Linked DNA regions of Cricetulus griseus. Each later gene encodes a partner of the first gene's protein in a complex. Links are inferred from orthologs where the notes say so. Each region holds a gene or a part of one and is shown on either strand. Other genes may lie near its edges. The genes, in order: Ccdc151, Efcab1 and Ttc25.

Region 1 (3,646 bases):
TCCTGCTCCCTGGCGCCGCTGAGAGAAGCGGAAGGGCCAGCGGGAGTGGGCAGTGGGGCGGGGCGGGGCGGCTGTGCGTCCAGTCGCCGGGCGGGGAGGGGCTGGGCAAGGCGGTGGCACGACTGTCGAGGTCCCCAGCCGACCCCGGCACCCAGAAGTCCGGGACCTTCCCAGAGGTGTATCAATCTGTCACCCAGCCCTTAAGTCTTCCCTGACCCCAGATATGGGTGTAGCGGGGACAGCGACAGGTCTGTGTCCCCGGGTGGGAAGTTCTTTGTGTTCATTTGAGGTTATCAGCCCCAGGTTTAGGGGTGCCCCCTATGTTTGGAGGGGAAGGAAGGCACACTGGATTTCTATCACAGGTGATGGCAGCCATATCGTCTCAGGCTGGAAGCTGTGAAATGTGTGTGACCCTGTATTTTGTGGGGTCAGCCGTTTGGGAGCAGTGCAGGGTCAAGAAGAGGTGAGTACCCTGGAGGCTGGTCAGTGACCTTTATTGCGTGATTCTGAGGCGGGCTTAACCCGCCTCGAGAGATTTACTGTGGGAACTTCTGGCTCCGACGTTCCCCTCCTCCGGGTGCTGCTGACCTGCGGTGCTCCCTACTGGAGCCTCCTTCAGCCCTCGAAGGAGCCTCCAGGGCTCCGCCCACACCGGTAGGTGGGCCCAGCGGGTCGCAGGGTTCCCTAGAGGCCCGGAGGCATCCGATGGGACGCAACTGCGAGTCTAGGACCTGCGCGACCTACTGCGCTTCTTGCTGCGGGCTTCAATTAACTTCTGGGAACGGAGCTTGAAGGCAGCACGGGTCACCACATCGCGATCATCCTCCTCACTTTCCTCTTCATCTGCAGAGAGGCATGATGGGCGGAGAGGGTAAGAGATCGCTTCTTTCGCCCTTCCCAGACTTTACCACACCAAACACCTCCTCCTTGGCCTTGACCTAAGGCCACCTCGTGCCCCTCCCATCCATCCTCCTTTGGCATGTACTGACCAAAGAACTTGTCCTTGACAGGGGCAAGGGGCAGAAGGATGCGGGTGTTGAAGAGAGGCAGTTTTCCTTCTAATGAGCTCAGGAACTACAGGAGGCAGGAGAGAGGTGTGAGACTGCAGTGAAGCTCTGTTCCTCCTTCTCCCACCTTACTTCAAGATACTGCCTGAATTCCAGGTGAGATCACTGTCCACTCTGCTGCGTACCCTTTCCTAGCAGACCTACACTGTCACTCAAGCCTACTGCCTGGTCTCTGAGGCCCTCCCCAGAGGCCTCTCTAGAGCATCCGAGGTTCTCCAGTCCTGCCATCCGGGGTCCACCCAACCCCTGCTTCTCTTTTTTGGCTATGAAACTCACATCTCAATCCCCACTATTGCTCCTATCGCCGTCTGCTCTCTGGTTTTCCACCCTCCCCCAGCCTTGATTGTGCCGGCAGAGATTTCAGTACACCACCTCTCGCTCTGTGATGTGTCGCATCATCTCTGATATGTCGTGGCTCTCTAGTTGCCCTTGTAGTCTCAGCAGCTTTTCCTGGACAACCTCCAGCAGATCGGACAAGTAGTTCTCTGAGTCGGGGTCTAACTTCTTTCCTGACAGAACGCTATCATCCTGCAGTGGGGACCGGCTAAGTTACCTGAGAGATGCAGGGCCCCTGGGAGGGGACAGGCTTCACCCACGAGTGGGGCTTTTCCCAGGGCTGGGGAGTTCTGAGATAGAGTACACCCTCTAAAATTAAAGCCCCGCCTTGAAGGCAGAGCCTTTGGACTTGCTATACAAAGTATGGGGAGGTCTATTTGAGATTAATAACACAAGCTAGACCATTGTGAGGGTGGCTTTCTAAAGAAATGGCGCTCTTGCAGACAGGGTGGGACTTCCCTCGCCGGGGACTGCTTAAGTTTTGGGTTAGGGAGGATGGCTGGTTTTGAGCATGGAGTCAGTTTGAGGCTGAGCGAAAGAGAACTTCCCCAGGAATGTGGAACCTGGACAGTGATGCATGGCGTGGAACTTTCTTCCTTAAACAGAGCCTTGGGTTATGAGCAGGAGACAGGGTTAGGATCCTATGGCTTGTATGGAACCTTTACTCCATCTGCTCTGATGCTCTGGGAGGACGAGGGCAGGGCTTGCCAGGGATGGGGTAGAGCTTTCTGCGGGGCCTCCCAGGGACAGTGGCCATTAGGGCTGGAGCTTCTTGGGTGTGGCCTACCGGGAAGGCGGGTAGACCTTTACCAGGGCGGGGCCTACCACTATCACGTGGCTCAGTTTGTTGGCCAGATGCTCCAGGCCGTCCTTGGCCACCTGGAGGGTTCGCAAGGCGCGTTCCAGTTGCTGGTGGATGTCGTTGCGCCGCCGCTCCTCAGTCTTGAATGTCTCCTGCATCGTGTCGCGGAGCTTCCGCTGGCTGCCGGAAGCCAGGCGGTTCAGCAGCTACAGGCGGCTGATTCCAGAGCCCCCCAGGCCTCCCTCAGCCACTTGAGGCTCACCTAACTAGTGTGGCATCCCCTGAGTACTTGAGGTTCTCCAGCTCCCTCTGGAGCCGCTCTTTCTCCTCCTTCATCTTCACCAGCATCTGCTCGTTGTCCCTCTTGAGAGTCTCCAACTGCGTGAAGGTCTCATCCTGGGCCAGGAACCTTCGAAACACAGCCTGCGGGCCACCCATCCCTGGTCAGAGCATGGGCCAAGGGAGGCTGGAGGGCGGTCTGACTCTGTCTGTGTCACACAGCTATGTGTGAGGATTGTGTGGGTCAGTCTCCCGGCTGTTTCAAGGCTGTACTTTTCCCCACGCCTTTCCCTGCCTATATATGAGTTAGCTAAAATCAGCATGCGGAGGTAGAGCGGTGCTTTCAAAAGTCACTGTGCCCGCAAGTTCTGATTGGGTATCTGGCCAAATAGCACAAAGATGCTGGGCCTCTCTGGTGCAATCAGCCTTCCAGCCTTTTGTGTATGTGTGTGCCAAGGCACACATGTGGAAAGTGCTCTCAGGGCCCAGGGATGGAATTCAAGTTGTCAGGCTTGCGCATAATCATTTTTACCCACTAAGCCATCTCACCACTTCTGAAGGAGGGCCTCAGACTAGTAAATGCATGTACAGCTGACCTCACAGGTCAGAGCCCAGATTGCCTAGGGATAACCTCTTTGGAGGAGTAGCTGGGTGCAGAGAAACCAAACTGGAGAAACTAATTGGACAGGGTGTGTGTGTTCTAAGGCAGGATCAAGCACTGGAGGGAGATACACAGGGTCTTGGAAGACAGCATGGCTCCTAACAAGAGTGAGGGCATAACGAAGGGCTGGGATTCCATGGTTAGGGACAATATTGGGCAGTCTACTGTATCCTAGATCATTCCACACAGTGATGATCTTAGAAACAGAACCTGACAAATAAAACTCCCAGAACAGGCATACCAAAGAAGTCAGCACAGTGAGAGAATGGAAGGAAGTGAGGACTGATGTGGACAGCTCTACCAGAGCCGGAGCTGGGCAGGAGAAGACACCTTTAAGGGAAGAGGAGCCTGCCCCACTCCAGTGCAGGCCCAAGGCACTCACATGTGATTCAGCCACTCCAGTGGCATCCTTGACCTTGTCAAACATCATTTCCATCTGGTACATGCCCCAGCGACGCTTCAGCTCCTCCTCTTTGTGGCGTTGGTGGTCATGGACTGTAT
Region 2 (4,383 bases), about 60 Mb from region 1:
AAGTTGTGGATCCTGAAATAGTGTCCACTGGTTGAAAAAAGAGACTTCTTTGATGCAGAGCGAGAACTACACTTATCTGTGGCTGTAAGAATAATTATTTAGAATACAGTTAGAAATTACGATGGTTTAGAAAAGTGGCAATTATAGGTTATCCTGCAGGTTAGCTGGCTAGGTTTACAGTACCTTACATGAGTTCTTTCCTATTTAGTGGACCATAATTTCAAATAAAAAGCTGTTGGTTGTTCCCAAGATAAAAGTGCCCTTGTCCAGTCCTTGTCCTCGCTCATAGGGTTTACTCTGGGTAGGACAACTCATTGCTCCTCTCCCATCGCAGCCTACACAGCACTTTAAGAGATTATAAGAACTAGTCCTCAGGGACTAGCTGGTCAGTGGCAGCTCAGTTTCTCCAAATTCTGTGCCCAAGTGTGTGGTATCTTCAGCAATAGAGTCTCACTTTTAAGTTCTGGAAGGCAATTAATGGCAAAAGCTACATCCCAAATTGTCTTGGAAATCTCTTGTATTCCCTTAATCAATACCTTGAGGGAAGGTTTGCCTGGAACTGAATTTTGTGTTAGATTGTGCCTGGCTCTTTGGGATAGGGGAAACACCCTCATTTCATGTGCCATAACTCCATATATATGTGTGCATATATGTGTATACATATATTACAATAATATTTTATTTTTATATATTTTTCTTTTGTATTTAAATTAGAAACAAGCTTGTTTAACATGTCAATCCCAATTCCCTCTCCCTCCCCTCCTCCCCTGCCCCTCACCAACCCCCTATCCCAACCCCTTTCTGCTTCCCAGGGAGGATGAGGCCTTCCATGGGGGAATCTTCAAAGTCTGTCATCATTTGGAGCAGGGCCTAGGCCCTCCCCCATGTGTCTAGGATGAGAGAGTATCCCTTTATGTGGAATGGACTCCCAAAGCCCATTCATACACTAGGGATAAATACTGATCCACTGCCAGAGGTCCCATAGATTGCCCAGGCCTCCCAACTAACACCCACACTCAGGGGGTCTGGACTAGTCCTATGCTGGTTTCCCAGATATCAGTCTGGGGTCCATGAGCTCCCGCTTGTTCAGGTTAGCTAATGAATATTTAAGTAATTTATAAAATAATGTTCTCCTTTGACTTTTTCAAACGTTCTTAGTAGAATTTATCTTTTCTCCCTGTATTACTTTCCTGTCCCCTTGAATTCTCAACATATTACATTAAGTTAAGACACATCCCAGATTGGCCGTTCATTGTTACAGGGTCCCTACATGGGTTCAGAAGTTCTCATCTGTAGCAGGTGGATTAACTAGTTGCATGCCTAAGACCCTTTATTCTCTGGTTCAACACAACACATCCATTTCAGTCACTGTGTCATCATCTGCCACTTAAAGACATTTTAAATGATCACAATGTCTATGAGCTGCAGCTGTTTGACAGTTTACTTTTCACTAATAATCATTAACATTTCTAGGACTTATGTAAAAATTTTTACTTAAGAACAAAAATCAAGAGTTTTTTAAAGACATGTTTTTACTGATAATTTAAACTCTCTATATAGAGTTTAGATTTTAGCTCAGTGGTAGATTGCTTGCATAGCATTTCAGTCCTGAGTAATGCAAATAAAACACAAAAGGAAAACCACTTATTTTTGAATTGTTCTCAGTGTTTGGTAGTGAAGCAATGTGAACTTATTAAACAGACTCAATCAATTGAGCACTACATGTGCCAGTTATTAATCTGTTGTATATTCATCAGAAATGTTTGTACTCATTTTAGAAATATCAGGTATTCTCCAAGAGATAAAAGCATTTCAGGAAAACAGCAAAAGAACACAATCACTATCAAATTAATAAACAGCTTAAATGGTTGGATGCCTTTTTCTGAGAATTTTAAGATGCTCACAGTGTGACAGTATGTCACAAATTTCAGTTCTGGGTCTACACCCATAACATCATTTCTTACACATATCAGATACCAATGATGTAAAAGAAAGTAGGCCCCAGAGCTCCATTAAAAGTTCACTTCTACATCTTCATACAACTGAGATGATTTGAATATTTGAACCTTTTCTATTTTCCTCGTGACCAAAAGCTTTTCAATCATCACACAACTTGTGAGTCCCCACACCAGACAACAGTGCCCTCATCCCAATCAAATCCACACACAGCTTCTTAGCCCAAGGGCCAACTCTGTTTTTCAGTCTGAGTACAATGCTCTGGTGTCTGCTCACCTGGAGGATCTCCCTCACCTTTAGACCCCATTAGCAATTGGTATTTGAGCATCTGAAACTGAACACAGATTCCTTACCATCTTAATTTGCTGAGCAATGCAGTTTTCAAATAGACTACCTCATCCTAAAACATTGCTGTGGAACTGCAAGTGTCTTTCTTAAAGGTGCCCAGCAGTGGATGACTGTTTTCCCTTATGGAGCTCTTAGTAAACTTCCAGAACTTAGACCTTACAGGTTCTTCTCCTCTAGAAAGAGCTAGGAAGTAGGTGAAGGTGCTATACATCGGCTCTGCTACCTTCTTGATTCTAATGTTTTTCTAGACCTTGTCAACCTGTTTAAAGCTAAAGTCACATGCCTCCCAGGACATCGCATCATGTTTCTATAACATAAAAGCAAATAAAGAGGGTCTTTGAATTTAGCGACGGTATGAGAGGAAGCTCAGGCAGCACACACTGGATGCACGTGATCTGGTCGTGTTCTAAAGATCCTGGCACTACATGAGGAGCTGACACCCCAAAAAAGGGATTTTCATGCAGGTGTCTCTTGTGGCTTACTGTGAAGAAGCCCTTGTGGTGGAAGCAGGACGGAAGCACAAGTTAGGTAACAGACCTGGTCCAGAAGTCATGGGTCCTCCAGAATTCGGTTCTTACTTACAGTGTTTGCAACTTTTAGTTAAGGTGTCTGTCAGCTTCTGCAGCTTCTTTCGGTTCATGATGGTATTCATCTAGGTAAGTCTCAGTGTCATCTGGAGCCCAGAGCCAGGTCCTTCACGAGCTCCAGGCTGAGGCAGCCTGGTTTCAGACTCCTTGGCTCTGAGCATTTGCGGCCCCTAACAGACAGCGTGGCCATGGCAACGCTTTAGCAGTCCACCAATTGGCTCCCAGGGGCAGGCAGGCAAGACATAAATGAGGCCCTTGCACACAGAGGAGCCATGGCAACAGCTGGTCCTGCTGACGATTGGCTCTGCGCTGGAGGCTGACTAGTCTGGCACAGAAAGGCCTGTGGCTGAAACTGCCAGCTATGGCTGCCCAGCCCCTACTGTCCAAGTTATAGAATTCCAACCAGGCACTTTTCAGGTTGTGTTGATTGACAGGTTGGAGTTTTTGATACTCACTTTTCATTGTCTTTTGGGTTCACAGCCCCTCAAGACTGCAACATAAACAATCAGAAGTCTAAGAGAAAGTGTTCAGGTTATATAGGAGATGTTTTGGGTGATGGGCACAAGAGGGACTTAGGGTCTTTAGGGAGATCTGTGGAAGTGCTGGAGGGAAATACGTGTGCCATTCAGACAATTGTCACAGCGGCTGTTTGCTCTTGAGTGTGAGGAGCTTTTTCTTCAGGACTAATGGACCACTGGAAGTGAGTCTAAACAATTAGGCTTGAACTGTGTTGCTGAGAAAGTAGAACCTTTCTCTCTCCCCTCTTCCCCCTTCCCCTCCCTCCTCCCTCCCCCAAACCTTCCATCAAATTTTAAGGTTGTTAAGTAAAGTTACATCCTCTTATATGGAGAAAGGTTCCCATTTAAGTGTTGATATCCAAGCTTGCTTTTAAAAAATATATCCCATTGAAATTGTTGCATTGCTTATTTGAAAGACAAGTCTGAATGTTTAAAAAAAAATCACTATATATCTATAGCACTGCAGTACTTTCTACTTTTCTCAATAACAGATGTGATGTTCTCTTTGAATTTAGACCCAAATGAATGGTCTAGCTCAGCATGAACCTTCAGAGAGCAACGGCTGGGAAATCACAGTAGTTTATTGAAAACATAATGTCCTTTTCCAACTGAAAATAGAAAAATACTGCCAAGAATAAAAAACAACCCAAAATGAAATAGTTCCAGTGTTGAAGGGGCTGGTTTTCTTTTACATATTTTTTTGTAGAAATAATTACAGTGCTGTTTGAAAGCAGAACCAAGAACCCTTGGTAACCCCAGGTACTGTGCCTCACTAAAGAAAATTGTTAGAAAAATGTTAACCAATATGAAATGACCACCAATATCCTCACATCCAGAAGCTGACAAACTCTGAGATAGTAGAAACAAATGAGAAGGACTGGATATAGTTTGTCCTTTCCTCCCATAAAATCACAGAATTTTTCCCCCTACATTTTGGAGTTGACGTTGTGAAAGCCAGGGAGTAGGTGTGGCTG
Region 3 (3,805 bases), on another chromosome or scaffold:
AGTCAAATCCTTTCAAATTTTCTAACAGTCCCCTAGACTAACACAACTGAAACCATGGTGGAAGTGCCATTCGGGTCATGAAACCAGACAGCTAGGCAGCACCACCTGCCAAAACAAAAACAAAGACCTAATACATCAAAGTCTATAATTATGGAAAAGTCCCTAAATGTACATTGCTTTTTGGCGTCTGTAGTTATGCTTCTGGCTGAGGGGTGTGTGTGTGTGTGTGTGTGTGTGTGTGTGTGTGTGTGGTTTTTTGTTTTTTTCTTGTGCTAAGAAAGGCTGAGCTGGCCCACTAATGTGGTTTCTGTATACCCCAGCCCCACCCCCTGCCTTGTACTCTCCACATAGTACATTCTGTGGAATGTGAGCCAATGGCTGAGAAGCAGACAGAAACACCTCTGCTCTCAAGGCTTTGCTTCCTCTCCTTCGAGCAGATCTGGGCTCTCTGGGGCTCACCTGCCTCTCCACCTCTAATCTCTTCCACTGGTTCCCTACTGAGAATAGGGAGGGTGGGGAGAGGAGGCACAATGACTCACTCAGGATTTGCAAAAGTTAAGACACATATTTAATGAGAAAACAGGGCAGGTGGATGACTTGTAGGCGGCAACCTCCCAGTTTGTTTGTTTTTTTTTCCCCCCTACCAAAAGCATCTCACCTGGAAACACTGTCCTGAACCTAGTGCCTATTAGGCAAGTCTTCCTTCCTCTCCCGTTTGTTAAGAATTTGAGTCTTTGACTTCGTCCTCTTCCTCTGTCTTCTCCAACCTTCCAACCTCCCCTCCTTCTGCCATTTTCTTCTCTGGTTTTATATCCATTAGGCTTACACTGTCTGAGGCTGTGTGGTCGGTGGAGTCTTCTGATATTCTCCTGAAAATTTCCTTTGACTCTCTGCTGGTTACTTCGTTACTGTCCCCTAACAGTTTTTTGGTAAGTCCTGAAGAAGTGTCTTGTTCTTCTGTCCTCGACTGCGTGTGCTTCTGCCCCTCGTCATCAGTGGTGTCTCTCTCGCTCTCTGTCGGTTCCCTTTCCCACTGTTTCATTGCATTGTCCGATTCTTCCCGCCCTCGTTTCGTTTCCTTCTCTGATGAGGTTCCAGGCAACTCCATCAATGCAGTGACCTCCTCTGAAAAACAGAACAGGGTGGGGGTGGGATGAAGATCTACTGTGACTAGACCTCTCAAGTTCTGGGCCTCGGAGAGCAAAGCCCTGAGAGGGGCCCCGCTGGCTGTCACAAGCTCTTTCAAATGGCGTGACAGCACAGGCTTCCAAAAGGATAGAACTGGTCATTACTCAGGGCCTGAGGTCAGCCCTGCTCTGGCTTCCAGGGAGATGCTGCACATACCATACCACTTGGTTATCAGGGAACTGCACAGGAACCCAAGACTGACACAGAGGATATTATACCACAATCTCTCCCCGCCAAGCAAGAGCAAAGCCAGGATTTGAACCCAAGACAGTCTGGCCCAAAAGCACAGGTGCTTTTCCCTACAAGAAATGGCACTGGTGCTTGTTTCTTGGTCCATGTCACATGAGCAGCCACTGCCACAGGCTCCTGCAACCACCATGCCTTCCCCACGATGATGCAAAAGGCATCCTGCCTTCCTTACAAAAAATGGCCTAGGTGTTGGGAAACGACACACGGTTCTTTTCTCCAGTGTCCCCACCCTGCCACCGTTGTATTTGCCCCTGGAAAGCAGTCAGCACTGAGTTCTCTTGTAAACATGTGAGCAGGCTGTAAGCAGCAGGAGGGGCTGCTGGAGAGGTGCTTATGTGACCAAAGGGGCTCTTGCTCCTTGTCTCTGATAATTACAGGAAAGTCACTTTCACCTCCTGGATGGCCTTCATGCTCTTCCTGGAAGTCAGCAATAGAAACTGAACAGGTTCACCACCACCCCAGAGTAAAAAGGATGAACAACACTGCCCTCTACTGTCCAGAGAAGGAAGTGCCCCCACGAGAAGGTAGAAAGGATCTTTGCCAAGCATGTGTCCAGCCCAGAGGAGTGGGGGCCTGCTTGGAGCATCTGAAGTTTTCCTGCCATCTTTTTTTCACATCTGTCGCTCCAGCGGCTTTTTAACTGCTCCATGTGATGTACAACCACTGACTTGGCCTCTCTTTGAGGGAATCAGCTTCTTCACAGCAGGTACTGGATAAGAAAGGGCTGTTGGCCAGACAGTGGCGCACGCCTTTAATCCCAGTACTCAGGAGGCAGAGGCAGGCGGATCTCTGTGAGCTCGAGGCCAGCCTGGTCTACAGAGTGAGTTCCAGGACAACCTCCAAAGCAATACAGAGAAGCCCTATCTCAAACAAAACAAAACAAAACAAAACCAAAACAAAACAAAAAACAAGAAGGAAAGAAAGAAAAAGAAAAAAGGAAAGGGCTGTTGCGCTGGGGAGATGGTTCAGTGGACAAGCCTGAGTCCTGATCCCTGGAAGTGAAGGCATGCACCTGTAAACCCAGGGTTTGGGAGGTAGAGAGGCTAGAGGATCAGGAGCTGATGACCATGCTCAGGGTAAATCTGAGGCCAGCCCAGGATACACGAGACACCACCTTAAAAAAAAAAAAAAAAAAAAAAAAAAAAAAAAAAAGCTGGGCAGTTATGGAGGCCAGCCTGTAATCCCAGCTCTCAGGAGGTTAAATCAGGTGACCCCTGGAGTGCAAATGTGAACAGCCAGACAGGCCTGAATCAGAGGTCAGCCTCTGTTTTCCACATACATGCGTACGCATGTGTACCAACGATACGACACATTGCCCACATATGCATGCAAAAAGGGGGCTGTCATCTGGCTGCCCTGCTGTGGTAGCAGCCAGGAGGACTAGAGAGGACTTTGCCTTGAATCTTGGAGGGCTTTAGTAGGAACCCACACTGGGCTCTGCTCCTGGACCCCACCCACTGCATCATGACTGAAGTCAGGGTGCCACAGAGGGAGGTAGACAAAGGCTGTCTGTCACCAAAACCAGTATGGAATCACATTTGAGGCCCCAGATCTAATGCTAGATGGCCAAACTGAAAGCCACTCTGGATTTCCAAGTCCCCTGCCTCAGTGCCCTCCTTAGTAAAACTGAGTACTTTGACAGTGTCCCCAGAAGTGGGGGGTGGCAATAGTGCCTACCACCCCTCTAGAATGTCTGGCACTAGGGCAATAAATGGAGCCCGGCTGCTGCTCTTCTCAAACCTGCTCTTCTGGGCTTGCCCATAATTTGACTCTCTGTCCCCTCAGACCTTCTCCGTGGGCAAGCAGAGCCTGAAGGGTCAAAGTCCCCTTTGCTTCCTGGAGGTCTAGAGTGAAGCTGCTGAGCAATGCAGAGGTCCCAGATGAGCGACCCCAGACAGCCCAGCTGGGAGAGTGGCCAGGCAGCACACTCCCTAGCATGTGACCTGGCAGTTACCACCCTCACTCGGCTTCCCACTCAGTACCAGTACAAGGACAGAATGAGACGGACAGACAGGTACATCACCCTGTACCTGACTAGCAGGAGCAAGCGGCCCCTGGTGTGGTCCTCTCATCCTGTCAGTGTCTGCTCTTATTGTGTCCTACTGGAAATGGTCCCCCTTCCTCCTCCACCTCTCACCAGGAAAACTGATGGGCTTTTTTGAGGCAGACTACTTCCTCCGTGAGGCTGTCCCTGACTCCCTAGAGTTGCCCCCAGCCTGTGTGTTCACACAGCACATGTCCACTCTGCTGAGCCCTCGAGTGTGGAACCCAGTGCTGGCCACTCTGTGGCCTTCCCTCTGGGTTCCTGTAGGCCAGAGTCCTGTCTTCTGAGAATCTAACACCTACGGGGCACGTGGCAAGTGCTTGA

Evidence for each region.
Region 2: Ccdc151 (region 1) and Efcab1 share a complex: the UniProt entries of both Homo sapiens proteins name them as parts of the outer dynein arm-docking complex. The link is inferred for Cricetulus griseus from reciprocal best matches to the Homo sapiens genes ODAD3 and CLXN.
Region 3: Ccdc151 (region 1) and Ttc25 share a complex: the UniProt entries of both Homo sapiens proteins name them as parts of the outer dynein arm-docking complex. The link is inferred for Cricetulus griseus from reciprocal best matches to the Homo sapiens genes ODAD3 and ODAD4.

Annotation. Positions count from the first base shown.
Region 1 is NC_048597.1:134,883,533-134,887,178, forward strand, and holds the end of Ccdc151 (coiled-coil domain-containing protein 151), read right to left. Parts: coding exon 3,528-3,646; intron 2,629-3,527; coding exon 2,468-2,628; intron 2,386-2,467; coding exon 2,229-2,385; intron 1,596-2,228; coding exon 1,440-1,595; intron 1,075-1,439; coding exon 990-1,074; intron 844-989; coding exon 725-843; 3' UTR 478-724; downstream 1-477. UniProt on the Homo sapiens protein: Component of the outer dynein arm-docking complex (ODA-DC) that mediates outer dynein arms (ODA) binding onto the doublet microtubule. Involved in mediating assembly of both ODAs and their axonemal docking complex onto ciliary microtubules.
Region 2 is NC_048597.1:74,574,064-74,578,446, forward strand, and holds the start of Efcab1 (EF-hand calcium-binding domain-containing protein 1), read right to left. Parts: upstream 2,945-4,383; coding exon 2,887-2,944; intron 1-2,886. UniProt on the Homo sapiens protein: Component of the outer dynein arm-docking complex (ODA-DC) that mediates outer dynein arms (ODA) binding onto the doublet microtubule. Seems to regulate the assembly of both ODAs and their axonemal docking complex onto ciliary microtubules.
Region 3 is NC_048600.1:113,620,638-113,624,442, reverse strand, and holds the end of Ttc25 (tetratricopeptide repeat protein 25), read right to left. Parts: intron 1,126-3,805; coding exon 719-1,125; 3' UTR 556-718; downstream 1-555. UniProt on the Homo sapiens protein: Component of the outer dynein arm-docking complex (ODA-DC) that mediates outer dynein arms (ODA) binding onto the doublet microtubule. Plays an essential role for the assembly of ODA-DC and for the docking of ODA in ciliary axoneme.